Oryzias latipes: one gene and its partner. The protein of the gene in region 2 purifies or fractionates together with the protein of the main gene of each other region. This does not show direct contact. Links are inferred from orthologs where the notes say so. Each region holds a gene or a part of one and is shown on either strand. Other genes may lie near its edges. The genes, in order: mafk and bach2.

Region 1 (13,409 bases), on a different chromosome or scaffold from region 2:
GTGACAACACAAGCTTCAAAGCTACTTAGATCAAGCAGATTTCTTAAAATAAAAGTTTTCAAGCCGCTTTTTATCATCAGCCTTTTATTAAAAGCTGAAAGATAATCTTGGCTCGATTCTTGCACTTGCTTCTGCATGTACTTCAACAGCTAAATGATAAATCAGGGAAGAACTGCATTATTTGAAGCTCCACCGATTGTTTACTTAGAGGCTTTCAGCCATCCGTGCACTCTGTCTGCACCGGAGTAATTAATGTCGTCACAGTTGAATCCTTGGAGAGCCTCTCACGAATGCAAAAATGTTGAAATGATTTTTTAAGCATTTTTCTTTCACAGTGTAAATGGAGGGTACCTGTACATCACTATCATCTACAACTTCTCGGTCAGTCTGGCCCTCTACGCTCTCTTCCTCTTCTTTTTCGCCACAAGCGACCTACTGAGACCGTATGAACCGGTGCTTAAATTCCTCACCATCAAATCAGTCATTTTCTTATCCTTCTGGCAAGGTGAGTCGTCGTTCCCCCTCATTTTTCCTTTTTTTCAAACACAATAGAAAGTAAAAATGTTTTCATTAGGAATGGTCCTTGCCATCCTGGAGCGCTGCAGCGTCATTCCCAATGCGCTGTTCATCGACGGGCATGAGGTGGGCGCCGGCACTGTGGCCGCGGGCTGGCAGAACTTCATCATCTGCATAGAAATGTTCTTTGCAGCCATCGCCCTCAAATATGCCTTCACCTGCACCGTCTACCAGGAGAAGAAGAACGATGTGCCAGGTGAGCACAGACTTTTGAGGTTGAAGTGCCAAGAAATTCAAATTAAAATCTCACTCCGATCATTTTTCAATCCAAAGCTTTCCCTGTGGTCTTTTAATTATGATTATGACGTTTTTTTAGCCAAAATTCAAAAACCTGCCGGAGCTGGGAGCTTGTGGCTTGCCGTAGGAGCTTCTATGTCACACCTACAAGCTTTTTCCAACATTTTTGTGCCTGCTCCTGACTCACAATTTGAATAAATAAATACTAAAAAAAATGCAATTTTAAGCTTAATTGCCTTTATACATGTCCTCCATCATCAGAAAAATCCCACAAGAGCATGTTTAAAACACCAAAAACACAATTTTAATAGGAGGAGGTCTTTAACTTTTTTTATTATCTCAATAGAATAAAATGCAATATTTTAAATACAAAATTGTTAGAAATTTTCCATATGAAACCTTTAAATAAACTACTTTTTTTTAATCTGCATTAAATGAGCAGAGATGAAAAATCTCTTTTCTGCTGCTCTTGGGTCTTGGAACCCAAAAGGTGGTGGATGACAGCGTGATAGTTACAGCCTCACATGGGTGGAGCTACTGCTCTGTTGCAGCGAAGAGAAGCTGAGATGAAAGCTGTTGGTCAACCGATCTGTTTACACACAAACCCTCGCCTGTGGTTAGTTAAGTTACAAGCAGCTCCTGAAAGAATGAGGCTGTGAGTACAATGGCGAGATTCCTCTAGAGCGCTCCAGTGCTCACCTGTTGGGATAGGGTACCCAAGAGCTCCGCCATTTTTGAAAGGAGCCATTTGAGGTGGTTTGGCCATCTGGTCAGGATGCCTTCCAGAAGCCCTCCAGCAGAAATGTCCTGAACATGTCCCACTAAACCGAGGCCTCAGGGCAGACGATGGACCTGCTGGAGTCTGTTTTTCAACTTGACCTACAAAGATGTTTTTGCAAAACAGCTAATGCTTAATATATTATAATCCAAAGCTAAAACCTTAGAAATGTTTTTGTTTTTTAACGTAATTAGCATGAAGTGAAAAAAAAACCCTGCAAAAATCTCAGAATCGAAATATTTAAATAGTTTTAAAATATCAAATTATTTTATTGTTACTTATTGCTTTTCTTTGATCTCTGAATAAGCTGGCATTGCAATAAAACTGAGATCTTCCCAGATAAAGAGGGATTTTAGCAGGAAGTTTGGAGATATTTTTCAAAAAAGAAAACCAGAATGGAGTGGGCTGGATGGGCCCTCAGCTAAAAGTACCGGACAAGAACCAGCTGGTGGAGGGTCAGACAGATTGAGACTTAAAACTCCAACATTTGGTTTACCTCAGAAAGAAAGAGTGTGAAATTATTGGATAGAAGCAGAGATCACAAAGGAGAATAGGGCATTTAAAAAAAAAAAGCAGATCTCAAATGATTTGGCAAATGTTATAAAGACGCTGTGTAAGAAAAGCTTTTTTTTTATCTATAGTGAGAGGAAAGTTTCTTTTCTAACCAAAATCCCTTCCTCCTCTTGAGGGAAGCAGCTCGCCTCCTGCTAAACTAATGTTTCAAATAAACCAGTTGTGCAGGTTTCTTAGAGGCATCATAAGACTTTAAGTGTAATAGAAGCCTTTAACCTCATTTCCTTAGTTTGCTAGGAATTTTTCAGAAATCCCATAAAGGGTTATAACTTGCCTTTTTGTTCTTTTGTTCTGCTACTTTAGCTGACATAAGAAATGCCCACATTTCTACAGTTTCTGTTGAAATGACTTCATAAGAGCTACAATGTGCAAAACATAGCCAAAGCTGAAGGACATGCATGATATGAAAGGCCCAGGCAGCAGGTGCTTTTAACGTTTGGAGGAGAAGGAAAGAAAAGGATTCAAGGTCATGGTGTCCTAAAAAAAAAAGCACCAAGGATGTGTCCCAGCTTTGGCAACCTTGCTGCTTGCAAAGAAAATGTAGATGGGATAGGAGGTGAAATAAACTTTTAGCTTATGTAATACAGAGTAATCAAATGAAAATGCTGGAAATTTAAATTTCCTTTTTTTATATGAGTGAAAAGGGAAAATTTGTATTTAGTTTTAAGTCCAACTTTGATGAGAGTTGTTTTTTTTTTTTCATTTTTAACAGGCTTTTGTGTCATCTGATGATGTAGTAAAAGATTTAAGATCGAAATAGCATTGCTGAGTATTTCTTCAGTCAAACTGTTGCGAATCAAGAAAAATGTGTTTAGAAAAAGAGCTCATTTGTGACTTAAAACTACGCTGGGCGAGCAACAAGTTCTCTGCTCCGCTCCATTCTGACTCATCAGGAGAGCACATGAACAGAGGGATATCAGAAATGCTGGCGGTCCTTCCCACAACTTATTGTGGGAACAAACTATGTGCTAGTAAAATAACTTTTTATTTTTATTTTATTATTTTGGCTAAAAATTGTCTAATTATAATTATAAGACCACTGGGAATGCTTTTAAAATGGGTCAAAAGATGATTGACTTGTTAAAATCCCCTGAGCTGACCTGCTTTTAGCTTATTAAAAAAACTCACCAATGAATTCAGCTATTATACTTTGACAAAACTTTGCAAAAGTTATTTTGTCTGTCATCATGTCATGAAACTGGCAAGCTCCCAGAGCAAAAAAAAGCAAATGGCTCTTTTTTCACTCAGATGATTCTGCACTGAAATGAGCTTTGAAACCGGGCATTTATCACCTTCATGCTCCTTTTTCTTTATTTGCATTCTGATGCTCAACCGGATGTCTTTTGTTCTGGGATTAAAGCTGAAACATCCGTGCAGCGCATCTGTGTGCAGCCATCAAAGTGCCTCTTTCCCTCTCGTTCCTGCAGAGGGCGGCCCCCCGATGCAAAGCATCTCCAGCGGCCTGAAGGAGACCATCAACCCCGGAGACATGGTTCAGGATGCCATCCACAACTTCTCACCAGCCTATCAGCAGTACACCCAGCAATCCACGCAGGACGTCACCCAGCAGCACGGCGTGAACGGGAAAGTCCCCACAGACCTGAAGGGCTCCTGCAAGTCCGACAAAATCATGCTGATTACATCTGATGATGAGCTCTAGGCGATTTTCCAACAACATCCAAGTGTCTGTGCCCTTCCCGCTCTTATCTTTGACCCCCCCATCCCCAATCTGAGGAAACGGCTGTGGCACATATCTCACAGAGCTGGATTGAACCCAGGTGTTTAATTTTCATCATCCGAGTATTTAAGGTGGACTGCCCGGTTCTGTCCTGCTTCAAAGGTAATTTAAGAACCAAGAGAAGGATGGAGTTTTAACAGATTCAGAAACGATGACTGGATCGTCAGAGATCTGATCCGTGCCCGTCTTGCAGTGATAATCAGGAAAATGACATGTCCCCTTCACTTCATCAAACCGGTCTGGAGCTTTGGCGTTTCCTTTAAATCAAGCTGTCGGATGCACAGCTGCATCCTTCTTTCCGGTCCTGCCACCGTCTCGATGGCGCTGCCTCTCAGTGGCCGTCCGGCGTGTTCCCACTGAATCACGTCGGCTTCAAAGAGCCTCTGATTAATATGCAACACCAAGATAGATGCAGGGAAGCCAGCGACGACTGGAACGTTTCTCGCCATTCCTTTTGTCTGGTATTAACTGAGCTCTTCTCTGCACGGATTCCTGACAGACAGATATTAGATTTGGAGCAGGTAATTCAAACTGCAAGAGATACTCCACTATCATTTGTTTCTGCCGCTGCAAGGACAAATTGGATAAACCTTTCTCATCCAGAGCGGAAGCTTGAATATGAATTTTCCCAGCATGTTGAACAGCCTGACCCGATGCAGTTGAAATGGCTGTTGGAAAGATGCTAGTGATTAGAATTTGACAGCTTTTGCACTGTTTTGACTGCAGCTGCTGATGCTGTCAACCACATGTCAACACTGATCAAGGGAGTGCAAAATTTGATTAGTGCCAGTCGTGCCGTTTTACTCCTGTAAATAATATTTTGGCTTATCGAGTGTTTCAATCTTGTTGTATTTATTTCTTTAGCTCCAGAGGCACTAAATTTGAAGTGTGTATTGATAAGTCAATCAACCCTTTTAAAGAGGAAGTTCATGTCTGTGGTTAAATTTTTCTACCCTCTTTTGCCAATTTTAGCTGTGTTTTGACAGAATGCGTATTGGTTGGTTTCTATGCAAAATAAAACTCAGATTTGTGTCTGCAAGTGTGAGAAAACGGAGCATTTTTGGGAGGAACATAAAGGAGCTTTATTTGAGCGTAGAAAAAAAAAAGACACAACCGTCGACAGTAATAATTTACCGTACTTTTAAATGAGAGCAAAAACAATTTGTACATGAAGATATTTCATTGAGAAAACATGGAAGTAAATGAATGCAAAAAAAATAATTTAGTTTTTTTTTTCTTCATAAAATTAAACAATTCCATTAAATAAATACAAAATAGAAATGAGAAGAAGAGTTATGTGAAGGCGTAAAAGGGTACATGCTCTTCTTTTCTGCTCTTCGAAGGCCACCTGCATGTTACACTGATCGTAGATTTCTATCACATCTATTAAGGTTGCATTGAATTTGCCTCTTCACGTCTAACACAATCCTTTCTGCAATATTGAAACTCTGTGGTTTCATAGCTTGCTGGACTTTCAAAGCTTATTGAGTGTAAACTTTATTTTTTTTTGGGAACAAAAACTTTATAAACTTCACAATATGCCAGGGAGCATTTCTTCATGTTTATTAGTATTTCTGTGGTTTCTGATCAAATTAAAGAAAGTCCACTTAAGCTCCTCGCATATAAAAGCTTTATTATCTGTAAAGATTAAAAAAAGTCGTCTGCAGTTTAGTAAACAGAAAATGTTCATGTGTTATTCCTGTTTTTATACGATTCAAAAAGTCGGCGTAAAAGACAACATGTTTGGTGGCACTTAACCAAAATCACCCAGAGAAAGGTTTGTCTTTAATTTGGCACAGCAGAATCGTTTAACATTTACCGGTAAGCATTTTATCCAGCTAAGTGCTTACACTCATTCTACATTGTTGCTATTTCGATGTTAACCACAAGAGGTCACGGTTACGCTTTGAAAAGGCTGTCAAGTTGCCCAGAAAGAAAAGAAAAACACTTAAATGAACCCATAAATAGATGTCATTTTCCTCAGGATTAAAAACAGACCTTCACATTAGGAGGGCATGTGGAGCTGCGTTGAAACATTTTTTCAGGTAACAAGTGCTGAAGCATTACCGTCATCTTTGACACTGTCAAAAAAAGTTTTTCAGGTACACTTTCACAAGATAATGAACTAGGTTTACATTAGAAGCACAATGGAGGCCGTTTGCAGCTGAAATCCATTTTAAATGCTCTTGTCAAAATATACCAAATACCATTTCAATACTTGCAGGGAACCAATGTTGTGAGAATCTTTTTTTTTCCTTGAAAAGTTGAAACAAAACAGGCTGATTACATAATCACACCACTCCATGGATAGTACAAGACTTAAATATAGAAAAATATGTCATATACATTTATATATATATATATATATATTTCATATACTGTGTATGCATACTGTATAAAACTATCAGAAATAGTAACAAAAACCAGGTGAAAATTAAAAGGGGAAAAAAAATAGGAGTAAAAACACAGCAATGCCCCCCTGCTAACGAGAAAAAACAAAATCACAGCAGGTTGTACAGCAGCAAAGTTCCCCAAACTGTTCTTTACAGCAGAGGAACAATGAAAGAACAGTCATGTCCTCCTAACCAAGAGAAGATCCCGACATGAACAATCTCTGTTTACTTCGCTCCAAATTGGGAATGGATCGTTTGGAAGAACAGCTTGATTTCAAGTTTGTATCACACTTAAATATTACAAGTCAGTTACTGCGATTGTTTGTTTTTTTGTTTTGTTTTTTGTGACACCTCGTTTTCTAGAGATAAGTGTCAGGAGTTCTCTTGTAGAAGAGTGAGTCAAAAGCAAGCGGGTGGTGAATTCCCAACCCCGGCGACAGCGGCGCTTCCCGTGACCCGGCAGACGGAATGATCTCTGTTTGGACGGAGTTGAGCAACAGAAAAAGGGAAGCCAAGGGAGAAGCGTCGTCATTTTTAAATCTGTAATATACAGGAAGTACGTTGAACCGGAACACGCTCAAAAAGACTGCTCTTCGTATCACCACATCCAATATGGATGACCCGCCACACCTCTCCAAGTAAGTGCTGCAACATACGTGTCAGTTGACCATCCAGAATTACATTCAACTCGACCTACAGTTAAGGGTCAGACCACAACTTATCATCAGAATCAACCACCTCCATATGACTTTATACTGTAACTTTACAGTTCTAAGTGCTACTAACCACAAACTCCAAAAAGATTTGGGAGGAGCTGCAGAGCCACTCTCCTGTTTTACATGGACCCCCCTTGCAATTATGTTCAAAAGCATTAAATGCAACAGTTGATGAACTGATTTCCAGCTAACGCTGTTCATTCTGCAGGTTCAAAGAAAATGAGGCGCAAAATCCCAAAATTGAGAAGTGAAATCCTTTGAAGCTTTTCACACTCAGTGGTTCATTTGGATTAGATTAGAGCATCAGCAGCATAGAGCTCTGTCATTCTGAGGCTTTCCTAAAGACTAAAACCATTTGCCAAGAACTTTTTCTTTCCAAATGCAGCATCGGAGGCACCAACGCGAGTCGATAAGGCAACAAATCCAGCTGAACCACACTGTTCTGGCCTCTGTGACAAACAGATGCCTCGAAACTAGACATTAAACTGTATTAAGATGCACTTAAAGTGTAGACAAATTGCAGATCTATTCAAGACAGCATCTTATAAGGCTTAATTCATACATAAATGTAATTTGGTGAGTTCTTGATTACACATTCTGCTTTGGGGTCTAGGTTCTGGGCCAGGCGCTGCCCCGTAAGGCTTGTTGGACCCTTCACACTGAAGTAAAAGTCACGGAGATTGGGTCAGCGAGGCTCCATATCCTGCCAGTGCCGGGGAATTGAAGGGGCGTGATAATGCACAGATCTTATTTGAGAAGGTGAACTGTTTGCAGCATAATGTCAGACAAAGCTCCACCCACCACCCCAAGTTTGGGGAAACTACCAGGCCTCTTCTCAGAACTAGCTGAGTGGGTTCAAGTCAGAACCCAGAAGATCCAGGCAGAGGCAGCAGGAGCCCGATCTTGTGACTAGGACGGAGCGTAGAATGGGGTTGGACTGGCGTTGTTGTGGTTGGTGGACTTGACGATGGTGATGACGCTGGTGGTGGCCACCTTCCCCGGTGACATTGGCCCCCGGGTCACAGTTCTGGCGAAACACTGCAGGGCCTCGTACTTGGCCCGCAGCGCGTCCAGCTCCAGCCTCATGCTGGCATTCTCGCGGGCCAGCTTTTCCACCTCCTGCTGGAGCTCTATCTTCTGCCTCTCCAGTTCCTCCTTCTGGGTGACGCGTTTGATGCGACAGCTGGCGGCGTAGCCACGGTTCTTGAGGGTCCGCCGCCGCTGCTTCAACCGCACAACGTCCTCCTTCGTCAGCCCACGCAGATGCTGGTTGAGCTCGCGCACAGACATGGCCACCAGCTCATCGTCGCTGAGCACGGGGGCATTCTCGCCCGCCTCCTTTTTCACCTGCCAAAAGGTCAAAAGGGAAATGGATGAAAGCCAGTCGCATGTGGTGTGATCAGCCTGCCATGTGTCACTCTCACCTTTAAAGCTTTGCTCGTCTTAAAATGAGTCGTCATTCCCTGCATGCAGAAAGCTGACCAGAACCTCGCAGAAGATGCACTGAAAAGTAAAAAGAAGTTATTGAATGGAATCCTAGTATGATGTTGAGGTTTAAAAATCTGGTTGCAGTCAATAAAAGCCTTAAATGTAATGGTGATGTAACATTACTGCAGATAATTTTCTACTTTTATTTTCAAATTAAGAGCTGGATTAAAGAATTTACATCCATCTGGATTTTAAAACAAGAGATACTTAAACAAGCTTTGGAGCTAGTGGCTTAACTTGTGAAAAACACAATCTTCGTTTTTCTCAATCAGTGAACCCAAGCGGCCACATCGCCTCCACATATGTGACATGATACTAATGGCATGTTTCTTTTCTGGTTATTCTGGAACTTGCTGATGCATTTTCTAAAAACTGCTGCTAAATGACAGGTTCAGTTTCCATTATATAGATTTTTTTTTATTTTGCTCTGATCTCACTTTGACAGTTGGCTGTTTTTAGATCAACTGGTCCAACCATTTTTGTCGAGCTAGGTAATTATACGCCTTTGGCAAGAAGAATTTTTTTTTTACTTGGCTGCATACGGTATTTTAAAATACTTTTCTGTTTACTTCCATTTTTTTTCTCCAAAAAAGAAGTATATCTTCCAAAAATGTGTCTGATTTCTTTTTGGTGGATCCGTTTTCTTGCATCAGTTCCACAATTTGATCTAATCTTTTGATTAAAGTAAATAACATATTGGAGATCCAGGCCAAAAAGTACAAAATACAGAGATTTTTTTGGGCCTGGGACTAAAAACTTAATGAATCCCCTTTTGAAATCCTTTACTTTAAAAAATACACCAATTAAGGCCTTGCTGTTTTAAGTTTGATACTTGTATATCTGAAAAGTTGCAGCATCAGAATCAACATAAGTGCTGGAACTTCCATTAACGGTGGAACAGCTTGTCAAGCTCGCATCCTGTTCCCTTTGTGGATATTTGAGGAGTTTTTTTTTTTTTTTTTACTAATGCATTCCCTCACATCAGTGTAGCTGACAAAAAACAAAGCTCAGCCCATCTTTGATGAAGAGAAGCCTGAAAAGCACACAGAGGATAATTATCAACAACACTGAACACTTCCCAAGGCAGCGAGCAGGACACCTGCTTAACCACATGTGCACACTTTCATCCAAACAAAGGTGCTGGTGTGCGTCATGTAAAATGCACAATGAGAAGCTGGAGAAACTATTTACAGGGGTTTGAGTTTTGATGACAGCTACATGAAGGAATTTGGGGCTAGAATAAAACTTTATATAAAAGGATGTAAAGTAATACAAAGTTACATGTTGAGATTTTAGCTCATTCTCATCTTTCAACCAAAAATAACTAAAAAGTGGGGGCTTCATTCATTTTTTTTTTTTAAATCAAGCAGTTTGCATTATTCTAAATTGCAAAAAAGAAGTTGATATATTTTCTAGTTGGGTGTTTGGTGATTGGGTCATATTTTGTCCAAATTAACCAACTGGAAAAAGAAGGATTTGAACAATTAGGTTTGTCTCTTTCCACAGAATCGTGGTTCACTTGTAAAAACTGATAAAAACTACTAAATACCAACTTAATAAATTAACAAAAATAATCTGAAATCAATTTTAAATGGATGATTTGAATAGTTGTACTACTAACAGGAAAAAACTGATTTTATGAGCCTTTTTGTACAAAACTTACAAAAAAGATTTGATTGTGTCTTTGAATAAGAAATATTATTTTAATGCATGTTTCTATTTAATCATTTTAATTTGGAGTACAGGTACTTTGTTTTAGTCAACCATTTTTGTTATACATTTGAAAACTATAATAAAACATTTTAAATTATAAAAAATAAAATTACTACTATTATTAAGTGATAAAACAATCAGATGTAATCTTTGTCTCAAAGTTGATTAAAATCTATCTAAAATCTAATATAGTGTTGCATCAATTAAACCTAGCAACTGCATTTCCAAAAATGGCAGCTTTGCACAAACATTTTGGTACCTGAGGAGATGTTGTACCACTAAAGAATTTGAGTCAAATGCTTAAAAAGCATGGCAGTAAAATACTAAAACATCATAAATGAGCCTTCCAGAGTTGGCTGATCCCAACTGCCAGCAGATGGCAGCATGGCACCATCACAATGCCCCTCCAAGGAGAGCTTTTGTTTACCCACCAGAGGGAGGAAGTTCTTGCCAGTCAAGTGCAACAGACCAAGCAAAATTACAAACAGGCAACTTCTATCTAGCTCCTTGTGTAACTGTGTTTAAATTCCTTCCTGGGCATTTTTTTTTAATTCCTCTCAGCCTTCATTACAGTGAGGGACATGCCTCCCAAGTTGACCAAAAAAAAAGTGAGAGTGCTGAGCTGTGATCCTTTGGGAGAGGCGAACATCCCTCCAGGGCTCAATTTGAGGACCTGCAGACCAGCCTGACTGCAACTGCACTCTTCCATGCTCCACAGCTACCATGGCAACGCCCTGCAAAATGGGCGTGGGAGCATGAGTCACATGGTCACTCAAAGAGTAAACAAGTCTCATTTATGACCGCAACATGGCCACATGCATAATGGAAAAAATGAAAAAATAATAAAATGAGCTGACGGCTTTAAGTCGTTACATAGAAACTGAAATTTGACTGTCTTGATCTGATGCTTCTGACTCCCGCAAAACACCAGGAGAACTGAACAGGGCCGCCCTTCCACCTGTGGAAAATTCCAGGAGATGGAGTGTCACACAAATACTTTCCTTTATCGTCAGTGAAGTATTTTCTGCAGTGAGACAATGTAGTCCGTCGGTTCAGGGCTGCCCCTCTATGCTCAGATCTTCTTACAGTGGGCTTTCCTGAGCTGCTGCATGCCCTTATTTAACTCTACTAACTGCTGGATATATTTAGCTCACAGTGTTGACTCAAAATTCTGCCAACTAAACAATTCAGGCGAGTACGCGATAAGTGATAGCTCAGTATGAGGGCAGACATTCTCTGTAGGGCTGCTTCCAGCAGCTTTGATGGAAGAAAGCTGTCCTGGTATGGCTCTCTGCTGTGTGATGTTTGTCATACTTTCAGGTTTTTGGCTATAAATAGAAGCAAAGCTAAATTAGGAGAAGGTAAACCTTGTTTCGCTGTAACATGGAAACTCCTCAGTGTCATTTAAAGGGAAAAAGAATTATATCAAAAAGTAGAAAACAAAAAACTGACACCAAGAGTCTCCTCTTATATTTTCTGAGATGATCAAGAAAATATGGGATGGGGCCTCCCTTCTTCATGCAGAGGGCCTCAAGCCAGATTCAAGAGGTCTGGTTGTTTCCCTGTAATTCTTCAGGCATGTGCCCATGTTTGATCCTAACCTGTGCAAGCACAAGACTTTTATGATCGAGAAATGAAAGTTTCTCAAAAGAAAAGCAGCTCCATGACTGCTGTTCTGCTACAGAGTCAAGAAAACAGCTCAGATCAGAGTTTTTTTTCTTCTTTTTTTTTTTGACAGTAAGAAAAGGAGTCTGGGAAAATACCTCAAAGAAAAGCCACAGATGGCGGGTAAAGAACAAAAGCACATTCCTGAGTGAGCGCACATGTGCAAGCCCTCACACACGCATGCAAAAAGAGAGGGGGAGCGTGCTTTTCGAAATATGTCCTACACAGCAATGGAGGGGGGGGGGGGGGGGGCTACACCCCCCTACTTGTAAAACACTGCTTGCAAAATTTACAAAATGTCTAGAATTCACTAGCGTCTCGCATCCTCTGCCTGCCTCAACAAATCGAGAGCGACCTGGGATTTCAGTGCGTGTTACTCAGAAGGCAAGTTCAACAGTCCAAAGCACAAAGTTTACAATTGCCGTTTCACTTGTTTAAGGTAAATATCGGATGACTTTTACAAGTGAATCGTCAGTGCAAGCTTCAGAGCAAAACGGGAGACGATATATGATTTAAAAAAAATAAACAGTTTCTATGAAAAACTTACAATCGAGAAAACATCAGAGTTATTGTAAATCCCTGACAAAGTTGTCTCAACTGAAAATATTTTTTTAAATTTTTTTGTATTTTTGTAACATGTTTACAAAACATGACAATAGATTCACCTTTTTGCCTATTCAGAGTTGGGTTGCAGCCTAAGCAGAGATGTCCAGACTTTACAAATTTCCTCAATTTTTGTTGAGGGAACCCCAAGGGATCCTCAAGCTAGCCGAGAAACAAAGTCCTCCCGCATGTCCTGGATGGGACACGCCCGTGAAACCTACCATGAGAGACAACCTGAAAGAGATGCCCGAGCCCTCATCAGCTGGCTCCTCTTGATGTGGAGGAGCAGCAGGTCTCCTCCAACCTCCTCTTAATCCATCTAAGGGAGAGCCCAGCCCCCCTGCGGAGGCAACTCATTTTGTCCGCTCGTATCTTTTCCTTTTGTCATGACCGAAAGCTTATGACCACGAGTGAAAGTAGGAATTTAGACTCGGTTCCTAATCCAGTACAACAGATCGATACAGCGACCACATTGAACAAATGCTGCACCTCTCTGCCTGTCAATCTCACACTCCATCCTTCTCTCATTTGTAACCAAGATACTCAAACTCCTCCACACGGACACCTTTACCTGCTTATCCACGGAAGACAAACCACCTTTTTGCAACTGAGAACCACAACATCCACCTTGGAGATGCTAATACTCATACTGGCAGCCTCACACTTTACTCCAAGCCGCCCCAGTCCACACTGGAGGTTGGATGAAGTAAACTGAATAACATCATCTGCAAAATAAAAATAAAAAAGCAGAGATGAAATCATGTGGTCTTCAAACTGGACTGTCTCTGGCCCCTGACTGTTCCTAGAACCATGACTAAGGACATGTCCAACATGAAAATAGGTTCCACATAATACTGGCATTACAAACCAAACTCCTGCTTTAGTTGTACAGTGACCAGACTTCTTTGTGAGCTCCAGACCCAGATTTT
Region 2 (11,910 bases):
TGGACATATCACCAGTCTGTCACAGGGCACACAATCACTCCAACACACACTCACATCTAGGGAAACTTGTAGGGTAATCAGTTAAGCATGATTTTGGACTGTGGGTGGAAGCTTACTGCCCAGAGAACTCTACACTCCAAACTCCTCACTCCAGGATTCAAACCAGAGCCTTCTCACTGTGAGGCAAGACCACAGACCACTGCCACAGGCCACAGTGTAGCCCAACCAATGGGTCATGTGACCAAAAGCATCAGGTTGTGTCTAAATTCCCTCACTATTAGTGCTTTTGATAGGGCGTTTGCCGTTTTTTTCAGGTTGTCTGAAGGACATGGTGGATTCATAAATAGTCTTTATAAAATGTTCAGATTTATTAGGTTTTTACTTTGAGAAATGGGTGACATCATTTTTGCCGTTTAAAAAACAAAAAAGTCTGAATTATGTTAAAACCCAGGGCACCAGTCCTGGGTTTAAGGGATCAGGTTAAAATGAGGGGATTCCGACTCAGTCTTAGTATGACTATGGATGGGGCATGGTAGTAAGGGACCCAATAAGGGATAGACAAGCTGTCCGCGCACTTGACCCAAGATCCATTGGTTGATACTACGACCATCTGAAGCTGGTTCTTTAGCACTGCAATCTTAAAGGTTCTATATCATGCAAAATCCACTTTTTTGAGCTTTTAAGTATATTATAATGTTCATTAAAAAAACAAAAAACAACCCCAAAGCAGTCTTCTGATCCATTGATGCATTTTTGAGTTTTCCTCTAAAAACTGTCTCTTTCAACAGCAGCCCCCCCCCCCCCCCCAATCCATGAAAACGAGCGGGTTCTCACATTGTGATGTCACAAAGCAAAGAACAGCCCCTTCCAGGAAGAGTCTGTGCTGCCAGCACCGCCTCCAGCTAACACACACACACTCACACACAAACACTTTTCCCTATATGTGCACAATATGCACACACACATCTTTGTAAAAGTTCGGATGTTGTTTGTTTTTGTGGGTGAAACGCAGAAACGCTGTAGAGGTTGACTCTATGATGATGTCATGAAATGGGCGGTACCCACACAGAGCAAAAGCAAAAGAACTGTAAAACACAATAGAAAAATAAATGATGCATTAGTACAATATATAAGGTAAAAATGAAAGGAGAACATGAAGAAAGTGTATTTGTCAGTGACAGCTAAAACTTACACGCTCCTGGTGCTGAGTTTAAGGTAAGGAAAGCTCCCTCCTGACAGTGGATTAAATCAGATAGTGTGCGTCTAATCCTTTGCTAGTGCAGCTTACAGCACAGGCCAGACACTGGGGAGGACATGACTCCATCTTTACATTGCTACAGACGCTGATACATGTTAGGAAATGAAGCAGAATTGATAGAGAATTCTGAGAATTTAGTTTAGTCCTAAAAGCTTGCAGACTAGTTCTTCAAAGAAATGTAAAACTGTAGGGATGAAGATGCTCCCGCTGCCCTGAACCTGAACCTTTGTCTTCAGGTTGGAGGCAAATATCAGCTTTGTCAGATATAGAAGAGGTTTCATGCTTGCTGAGACGTCCTGCTGGTTGGACAGGGGTGCCATCACTACTCCTACAGCAGCTCATAGCTCCTCTCAGTAAAGCATCATCTTGTATCAACCCACCCCCATCTTTGAGTCAAGCAAGCTCTGCTTGTTGTGAAGGTTTGGGCGACGATTTGGTTTAACCCTCTGAAGTCACATTCCAATCAAGCTTTGATCTATTGTCAATTTGTGTCTGATTTCGGCTCAAAACATGACTCAGCGACTCCTTGTTGACGTTGCAGCCTTGTTGGGACATGGTGGCCATCCACCAACCACCCACTAATCCATCCATCTGGACCATCCAGGGTTGCACGGCACTCAAGACTGTTTGAAAATGAATCTTCATTTTTGTCTGGGCCCACTGCAGCCGGTTCTGCTTGTGAGCGTTGTGTAGGGGTGGCTGAATAATAGGTTTAGGTATAACTGCAAGCTTCTGGAGGATCCTTCACCTTGACTCCAAAAACACCAACAGCTTCAAATATGTGCTTGCTGCTTTTTAATTTTATTTTATCAGCTGCTCTCTTAATCTAATGTGTTTGTCTGGCAGAAACCTTCCTTATGCTGTCTTTCTCTCTCCACCAACCAGTGTGTGCTCTGAATCAGCCACATCTCTCAATAGTACAATGACCACACCTACGTTTTTGGAAAATATCCGAAGGTTTTTATGCCTTGTCTAAGGCGTTTAACTGTTTCAGGCTTTTCAGCAGCAGAAATCCTTTTTCTTATCCCTATTACTTGAAAATGTTGGTCTGTTTAATAATGTGGAATATCCTTCTTTAGCTTTTTCTTTAATTGAACTCACCTGACAAACTAATTATCACAGGTGTCTGAGATTGATGTCAAAGATCCAAAGACCCCCGAGACACCAAAATTAAATTAAAAAGCAAACAATTTGATCTTTTTGACACTTACATTTAATTTGCATAACAATTTGTAAGTTACTGTCCTTCATTATGAGAAAAATGCTACAATAACTTTTTAAGAACACCAAAAACCCACCTTTTATACGAGTAAATTTGTAAACAAGAGAGAAAAGTTTGAAAATGTTTGTGTCAGCCTAAGAAACTATAATTAAAAAATAATAAGAAAGTGTGTACTGAGGGGTTCTACAGTCATAAACATCTTTAATCCTACTTCACGAATTTCATCTATCAGGTGTTATTTTTAGAACATAACCCCCCCATGATAAATGAAGGACAGCTGTAGGGGTCTGGTCTCAGTCAATTTCATAATTATGTGCAATACATAGCATGAGTCCACTCATATAACTGACATATGTCAAATCTTCAGTTGAAAAGTCTCTTGAAATGACTGGACCACAAAGATCTCATGTCTTCATTATTCAACAGGGTACCTACCACTGACTGTATATGAGAACTGGACTGAGTGAGTGTGACATCACTCAGAGAATATTAATTTTTTCATTTGGTTGGAATCATGTTTCATTTCATTCAGTGACCTTTTTTTTTTACAATAAAGACATATACACATCACCGTGTGATGTCTGTTTGTTAAGAAATCGTCAGCAAGCACTGATTGCTCTGAGACAACAGTTTTATGGCAACCACTGATGCCAATCAAAAGTAAGCTTGTTAGAAGGCCACACACCTACCACTTAAAAGCGTAGTCGGGTGAATGTGTCAATCCAATGTTTTGAACGTTCAATCTCATTGTAGAGTTACGCTAGCGGCACGTTTCCTAGATTTCGTGAAAAATTCCTTGGAATTTTTTTTTCATTTTCCTATGTTGTAAATTACGCGATTATTAAGAACATGTTAAAAATGTATCAGAGCAATGATTATTCTAACCAATAGAATGAGCCAGCAGGTACTTCCTGTCTGAAACGCCAGGGGGTTGCAATAACTCAGTCCAGTTCTCATATACAGTCAATCGGGCATGTCGCTGAAAGAGAAGATTTTGTCCATACGATGCAGCATAACTGCCTCTCTAGTCACATTAGCTAAAGATGATGTCACCCAGAGGCCCAAGCAACTCCAACAGAGGCTATGAAGGGGCTGATGCTGGGGAGGTGGTCTTTTGTCTCCCCCCCCCCCCCCCCCCCAGTGGCAACCTTGAGGAGTAGCAGTGCTCCAAAGCTGCAGCAGGAATACTTAAAAGCTTCCAGACAACTGACAGTCGGCCAAGTGCAGCTTAAGAACATGAATTGAAGATAAAGGTTGCAGCTCTGAGCTGACACAGAACCCCCCCCCCCCCCCCCCCCCCCCCTCCCCAGCACAGCGACAGAGCTCAGACCAGAGGCAGGGATGCGTCAGCAGACTCGAGTCAGTGACCGTAAAAAGATGGGTGACGGGGGATGTTAAGAAACTAGATGGAGCCGTGAGTAGAGAAACATTATGAGTCTTTGAGTGGATGCAGTCGCTGAGCAGCTAAACAGCCGGGAGGCTGGAGCCTGGATAGCAAATGAGAAGAAAAAACTAAAGATGAACAAAAAGACAAAAACTAGAAGAGACAACACACTAGTCTGAGTTGTATTTTGGATTCTATTATTTTGGATTATTTTGCTAAGCAACAGAAAAGAATCTGCACTAAGCCTGCAGATCCCACTGGTGCTGACATTTTTTCTTTTGTTTGCACAGAACAGAAGCCAGAGCTACCCAAGCACTTTTTCTGAAACCGTTTTTTCAGTCTATGAAAGATATCCTCCTTTTTTCCAAAAACACTTTTATAATTTTTTCTTCAGAAACTGTTGAATGTGAATATTTGTGGCCACATGTGTTGCTTTATTTTGAATGTCACACATCAGGACAGTTGAAGTGTGCCAAGATTTGGAATAAAAACAAAGCCCGATCGACCGCACTTATTCTTTGTTTGTAGTCAAACATGACACTGAAAGATGTAATGACCTTACAAGATAACTAAGGATGAACACACGGGGGTTGACCTGTACAGGGGCTGCAGGTTTTTCGGCTGTTCAGGTCCATGAAGGATCGTAGACAGGTGTGACTGTGTCTTAAAGGGAGCGCAGGTGTGTCTTGCAGTTCCCTTGTGGCTTAAGGGACGTCATCAAAATTCAATTGTCCTGTATGGTAAGTGTATCATGGGGTATTCAAAAGGATAATGTAAGTTTCACACACTTAGGACGTACAGGGGATGCTGTCTTACAGCGTCCCTACACCACATTCTAGTCGTTAGTAAGGCAGGGACTCTGGCTTCTAACTACCGGTAACCGTGCACAAAAGCTGCACACACACAGTGTGCAGGTGATACGCCTGTAGGACACACCTGGGTTGTCCACACAAACTACACTCTGTCTAACTTTTCTAACAGGCAGACTACAAGCATGAGGCGCACACTTATGACTTGATCAGCACTAACGGGCTCCAGTCAAGCACCTATGCCCCCATTAAGGACAACTCTGGGTTAAATAGAAAATACATTTAAGAGTCCAACAAATTTCTCTATGGTACAATTATTCTAGGCAATGAGGACAGTGTATGTTTTTTTTTCTCTTGTTAGGTGGGGCTTTTTCCATCATAATGAATGGGTGAAGGCTTCATTTTTTGCAAGCCATCTAGTGGTTAAACAGTGAAGTGCATGGGCTCTTCCTTTGGTTTCAAACCAGCCTCAAGGAGGAAGTGAAAGTGTTACCAACGTATGCTGTGCAATCCATGAAAATGGTTTGACAACTAATGTATAGAGTCTTCTGTGAGTAAGAAATGTAAATGTATTTGATACTTGGATATCAGTTGATTTCAAACCTCAGCAGAAGTGGCTGTTTGACACATGAAGGAGACAGCCATTCAAAGATGTTACTTTTCACACTCCGTCCCACACCTGAGACACACGGCAGCTCATGAATTATTCACGCTTGCAGCATCTGAATGCTGCAGAAACACCAACCAAGCACCCCCCCCCCACCCACCCCCGACCTTAACAGGAGCTACAACTGATATTGGATGATGACGCCGCCATGCTTTTTAATGAGACAACAAAGCTGTTGAGTTCCAACGTGAATGCAGGCCGGCCCCGATGAGGATCTCCACAGCACATGTGGGATGTGCCCCACTTTCTACCGCAGCACATATCTGCAGCATATGTGTTTGTGACATCAATATGTCAGGAGCCGTAATTACAGCCGTGTGACATGCATTTGCTGTGGCTCCTTTTGAAGCTGCAGCAGTTTAGGCTTCAAGAAAGCAGACGTAGAAAGCACAATCACACAAAAAACAAAAATGACAAAAAAAGTGTTTCCACTGAAGAACTTCTCCAGATGATCAGTGGCAGAGTGAGAGCGGATGTGAGCGCAGCTGAGAAGATCCAGAAGCCGTGTTAATCTCATCACTAAGTGATACGCTGCTGAATGTAGCGGCACCTGACAGGTGCTAATTGGTAACAACAGCATTAAAGGCTCAAGCTTTAACTTTGTCGCACCTTCTTTTGAATCCTGAATCAGCTCTGGACAAATCCAAACCTTCCTTCTACATCTGCTATTTTGATGGAAAGGAAATCACATTAAATGACTGAACTAAAAATAGAAAAAGCCTGAAGTTGTGGTTGCTCTTACACTTGGATACACTGAATGAACAGGGAGTGCTGGATTCAGGATTCAGTTCTGAGTTGTAGTTTGGATTTTATCACTTTCTTTCAGTCCTGACTGATGTATGGTGGCCCTGAAGTCCAAATCAAATCAACAAATTACACAACACAAACATCAATCAAAGATTACAAAGACAATTAAAAAAAGCAAAACAAATAATAATGAAACCTGAATGTATAAAAAAAACACTTCCAAAAACAAAAGTAATGTCTGGAAATTAAAATAAAAGGTTAAAAAATGTAACATAAAAAAGCAAAAAAGGTGTGAATTATGGGACGCCAATGGACGTCAGTGACAGGATGATGACATTGTTTCACCGTTTTGTGGTATGGAAATACTTTCTGATATTTCTTTAAGCAAAAGTTCTGTGATTTATCAATCAACTCCTTGCCGGAGTTTGAGAAAAACATCCTTCTGCTTTCCCTCTTCCAATCAATGACATCCCACAATATCTTCCTTTACTGGCTGCTTATTTTAAGTTTTTGTATTTGTGTTTTAGTTTCTGTAATTTTGTTGTAATAGTTTTGGCTTTTTAATTGTCGTTCTTGTCTTTAATCTGTTTTTGTGTGTAGTGATTTGTTGACGTGATTTGCACCTCAGGACCACAGTACTCACTACTTTGAGATGTAGAACAAAAACCTGAATAAAAATATGAACCAGCCTCCCTGCAGCAACAGTAAGAAGTAAAAAAAATAGTTTTCAAAACCAACTGAAAGATTAAACCCAAGGAGTCAAACAGAAACCAAAAACTAGTAGAAATAAAACAAAGTGACAGGATCAGGCAGAACAAAGTCTGACAACTATCTTAATCAAACACTGACATGAAAAAAAGCATGATTCGGTCCTGAATCTAGTTGGGGCATAAGGAGCTGCACAAATGAACAATGAAGTCAAACAGAAGCTGAGAAAAGGTCAAACAGTGGAGCAAACAAAAACCAGTAAGATTCAATCAGAGGTTCAACTTGTTCCCAGTCAAACCAAACAAAAAGAAAAGAGAAAATTCTCAAAGAAAACCCGTCGTTTCTGCATGTGGCTTAAACACAGAAGACAGATGTATAAAATTATGAGTCTTTTTGTGTCTAAATGATTTATATTTGTCATAAGAGTATTCTGACAACAAAAAGGACCGACAAAGCAGCCCAATTCAAAGAAAACCTTGTAAATTCCTTGCAAACTGCAGAAAACTAAAGACCACTTTAAGGACTGTGAGTTCTGAAAGGGAAGTTCCTGATTTATGGGACTGGACTTTCAGAGCAGTCTCTTATCTCAGGAGGAGCAGCTGCAAAACTGTCAGAGCAAAATGAAGCAGCTCGAGCTCAGATTCAAGAGGATTTTTGGAGTGCGGTCAGCGCCTCTTTTTCATCCAAAGAGTCCAAAGGGAGGAGAGGAAAAGAGTGTTTTTGCTGAACTGGACACAGAGGAAACGGCCAGCCAACAGTAAGTGAATGAAGACATGGGAGGTTTTCCAGTGTTTGGCCCTTTTCAACCAAAGCTACAGTTTACAGAAACATTTCTTTAGATTTTAGTCATAATTTTTTACGACACACCTACATAATGTCATAATTTGATCTATGTATATATATTTACAGGAAGAAACACATTTCCCATGAAAATGATTTAATTTAAATGTAAGAAAATAAAACTGTTGTTTCTTTTCCAAGCTTTCCTCTCATTTTTTTGAGACCATCAGATATTAAGGCTTGAAATAAACAAACAAACAAAGACCAACTTAGATTTAAAGAAAATTAGCCGAAAGTATTTTTTTGAGCTTATCTGTATAATATTATTGCACATGCTGCTGCTTCCTCCAGCTAATTCCAGAAGAACATTTACTGCGGGGTTAAGAAAAAATTCACAACAGCTGGCGGCGTGACCTCTGACCTTTCAGGTGACTCAAAATATAACCCGAAAACAAAGAAGGCAATTTTTGTGGCTGAAGGAAGAAGGGCGGGGAAAATAAAATGTCAGTACTATTTTTAGCAAAAAGTACTACACTTGAAGTTGATTTTATTAAGTATACTTGAGTATCATCAAGTATGCTACAGACTTTGTGTAGGTAGTGTAGGAAGTATACTAACTGAATACTTCTTCAGACTAAATTGTAACATTTTTAAGTTGACAATATATAGATAATTTACTAAAGTAAACTTGAAGTATACTGTGTCAGCTTTAAGATCGACTACGGTTTCACTTAAATAGACTACTTTTTGCTAAAGGGAACTAGCTGTCCTGTGAGTCTGGGGGGTAAGAAGAGTGAATCAAACAAATCCCACTCTCAGAATTCTGTTGATCCAACATGAAAACTTAGCGTTGCTAAGCTACATGCATATATTTGTCCGTGAACGGCATCATGCTCATGGTTAAGCCGTGGAAAGTCTTTCCCCTGGTATACAACAACATTGGGAAAAGGTATTTTTGTACTATTAGTTCATCAGACTGATATGAAATATTTGTGTAGTTGACTGCTAGGGAGGCTGTCACTTTCCAATTTTTTTTCTAAATTGTGGGAAAGATGGAAGGTCTCAGCTTCTCCTGCGATGGCTTGGGGGGAGTTTTAGAGTTATATCAAGCTTGTGGGGGTGTGTCTGACAGGCCTACCTCTTCAGGAAGGCTAACGACCAAACCATTTTCCGCCTGGCCCACCAGCGCCTGGAGGAAGTACTCGCTGCAGGCAGCCAGCACGGCCCGGTGCCCTCGGAACTCCTTGCCCTCCACCACTACGGTCACATCGCACAGGATATCCTGCTTCCGCTGGTCGTTGAGGCAAAGGAGGATATTGGTACAATGAACCGTCGACTCATACACGTACATGGGGGCTTCAGGCTTCTCATCCACGGACATACCGCTCACACCCTAGAAATAGAAACATAACAGAGGAGAGGAGGGGGGTCAGCTTTCAACCGAGCCAAGCGAGCGCATACCGCGGGGCTGACATCAGCGCCATGATTCAACACATACAAGCCTGCTGCTCCACAGGCTTACTCACTCTAAAAGCCAGAGAAGGGCTGAGTTTTTGGAGACAAAATTACAAACATGTTCCCCACGTGTTCAGTAAAGCAGTTTTTTTGCAAACCAACTGCGTATTCGACCTCACACAGTCGTATTTTTACACAGTATGATGGAAAAAAATACAAGACATAAAGTGGTTCATAAACTGTAGATGACTTAAGTAAATATATTAGACTCTTCCTGCAAAATAACATTGACTAGTGACCACAGAGATTTTTCTTTGCTGTCACAACATTACAGTATAAAATTCACACAACCACAAAAATCCCATCAAGCAAAGACAGGCAGCTTTCGGGGGCAACAAACCCAAATCCAGAGGGATTCAGCCAAACGACCCTTACTCAGGTAAAACGAGGATCTGTTACATATGACCAGAAGAGGGCACTGTGGGCAAACACGTCTTAAAAAACCCGTTGTTAGCTACATTAGCCTACAGGTTGAGAGTGCTGCAGAGACAATCTGAACTTTGAGGTTTTATCGATGTCGTAATTTAGGTTTCGAGTTAAACTTTAGGTTCCACAAACTTGATCTGTCTGAAGGAATTTGTGAATTCTGCTGCTGCGGCGCATCAAAGCCTACTGGAACCTAATAATAATAATAATAATAATAATAATTAATAATAACAATTGAAACTTTACTTATCCCACAATGGGGAAATTCTTCTCCGCATGTTGGCCCATCCCCTGGGTGGGGGCTGGCTGGTTGTTGGACAACCTGCTCTACCGACTGAGCTAAACTGCCCCCCCCCCAAGAGTGCCCACCCCCCGCAGAGAAACCTTTTGTTACACTGACAACCAGATGTAATTAGCTACAGGTTTTTCCTGTAAATTCTCAAGCGTCCAACATCAGAGGCTGTTGTGGATCTGCGGCGCAGCACGAGTACGTCACTCTCTGGAGGTTTGCACCTGCAGGATGTCGTCTGACTACTCAGGTACAGGCCAATTCCTCACTCCTGGACCTGGTTTTGATACTGATCCCAATCATATGAGTTGTTTTTTCCTGAGCTGAAGAACACTGAACACGACGGGACTCCTCGCCTCATTCTGACCTGCTGCTGCAAATTACATTTTCCCAGGAAAGTCCCTGTCACAGTTTTCCTTTATTTTTCTTGGAGCAAGTTATCAGACGATCCTAAAGGTCAAATATGATTACACTGAGAAATGTCCTCATTCTATGGAAATGCTTCTAATTAAAGTACCTATACTATAATGGTAATAATGCTAGCACACAGTAGAGTGGCTGCAAAAACTGACACTGAAAATATGAATTTGGTTTTGATTTGGTTCAAATAAAAGGAAAAAGCAAAAGTTCTACATTAACTGTGAGTAGAATGTAGGAACATTACTGCCTTTCATTCCCAGAATTCCCAGCGGATCAGAATGTTAAAGCGGCATGAGGCTGCACAATTAGAGTTCATTGTAGCTTTGGCAACACTCACATTATGTTTGTTTCATTTTATTCCGGTTGTTGCCTCACGGTCAAGTTTTCACCATTTGGCCAGGAAATGACCTGCTGAGGAACACGAGGTAAAAACCCTTCGCATGGTTCTCAAATAAGCTTCTGCACTCTTATGTGAAATATGTGACATAAACAGTTCTCCAGGCTATTTCGGTGTCCCACATCTTTTTTTTTTTTTTACTGATAATCCTCAGTGAGTGGACTGCTGGGAGGGTGGGGGCTTCATGTGACCCTGCATCCACTGCTCCTGCGTGGGAGCTGCCGTGGAGCACCAGTCCAGACTATGGTTCTAGCTGGTCCAGCTGCTGCAGACTTCTTCCCACCGAGCTTTTCTCAGTTGGTTTCCCAGGATAATGACCTGCCTTCCAAGAATAATGTTTCCAGATGCGTGGCTCAGAGCACATTAAACATGCTATTTCTCCACTGGAATGCACAACGCACTGAAACTTGCTTGAGCACAGAAGATGACACAAACGCACTTTTAACACACACGTCCTGACACACCACAACAGCAGCAGGTTGTGGCTGAAAGCTGGTTCAAATTGCTGATGGATGCAGCTCCTTCAGCTTCACCGACACTTTTTATGATGAGTTACATACATTCGTGCGCAATTCACTGGATGAACTTGACCATGCAAAAAATCTGTGTCTTCAACTCTGATCCTGACTACAAAACCAAGTCAAACCTGGGAAGACCAGCTCAAGCCTGGAGTCTTCAGGTCTTAGACGGATGAGACCATTTTTCAAGGCTCTGGTCACAAATCCAGTTCACCAGGTCAAATGAAGTGAGTTTGTTTCCTCAGGTGTTCTGCGTTTCTAGGCAGGTGTGAAAGTTCAGCTGAACTTGGGTGCGGATCAAATCCCAGGGGGCATCGTCTTATGCTACATTCACACTAGGCTTGGAAATGTGTATTTGTCTATATGACCCCTTGTATACACATGCTTCGGGTTTTCGCGTTCAAAACTCTCGTGTTCACACTACTCAAATCCATTTCCAGGGTTTAAGTACATAACGTGCTGCAATTGATCAAAAAATCATAGCCAGTTGAACTTTGACCGATCAAAGACTCGGGTTTAGTAGTGAGGTATGGGTAGCACTCTTTTCAAAACACTGAAGTACCAACAACTTGCATCTTTAAACTCTAAACTCCATCAAAGCATGGAAGAGAACCAAAGTGAGTATACAAGGAAAGCCCTGTGCGGTCTGAGTACAGTGTTCGTACACTGTATTGCTGTTCACCAGGCACATACACACACAGGGCCCTATGGGTACTTGAGCACCTGCCCTTTTGGCCTCGTATTAAAAAGACCATTCTTTTTTTTTTGTA

What was found.
Region 1: the proteins of bach2 (region 2) and mafk purify together in Homo sapiens (co-immunoprecipitation; 3 studies listed by BioGRID and IntAct, with this or other methods). This does not show direct contact. The link is inferred for Oryzias latipes from reciprocal best matches to the Homo sapiens genes BACH2 and MAFK.

What each region holds. Positions count from the first base shown.
Region 1 is NC_019866.2:7,329,216-7,342,624, forward strand, and holds the end of mafk (transcription factor MafK), read right to left. Parts: intron 8,515-13,409; coding exon 8,436-8,514; intron 8,359-8,435; coding exon 7,921-8,358; 3' UTR 5,399-7,920; downstream 1-5,398. Other genes in the region: tmem184a (transmembrane protein 184A), read left to right, coding at 336-505, 575-772, 3,592-3,824. UniProt on the Homo sapiens protein: Since they lack a putative transactivation domain, the small Mafs behave as transcriptional repressors when they dimerize among themselves.
Region 2 is NC_019882.2:20,478,933-20,490,842, forward strand, and holds part of bach2 (transcription regulator protein BACH2), read right to left. Parts: intron 8,969-11,910; coding exon 8,714-8,968; intron 1-8,713. UniProt on the Homo sapiens protein: Transcriptional regulator that acts as a repressor or activator. Binds to Maf recognition elements (MARE). Plays an important role in coordinating transcription activation and repression by MAFK.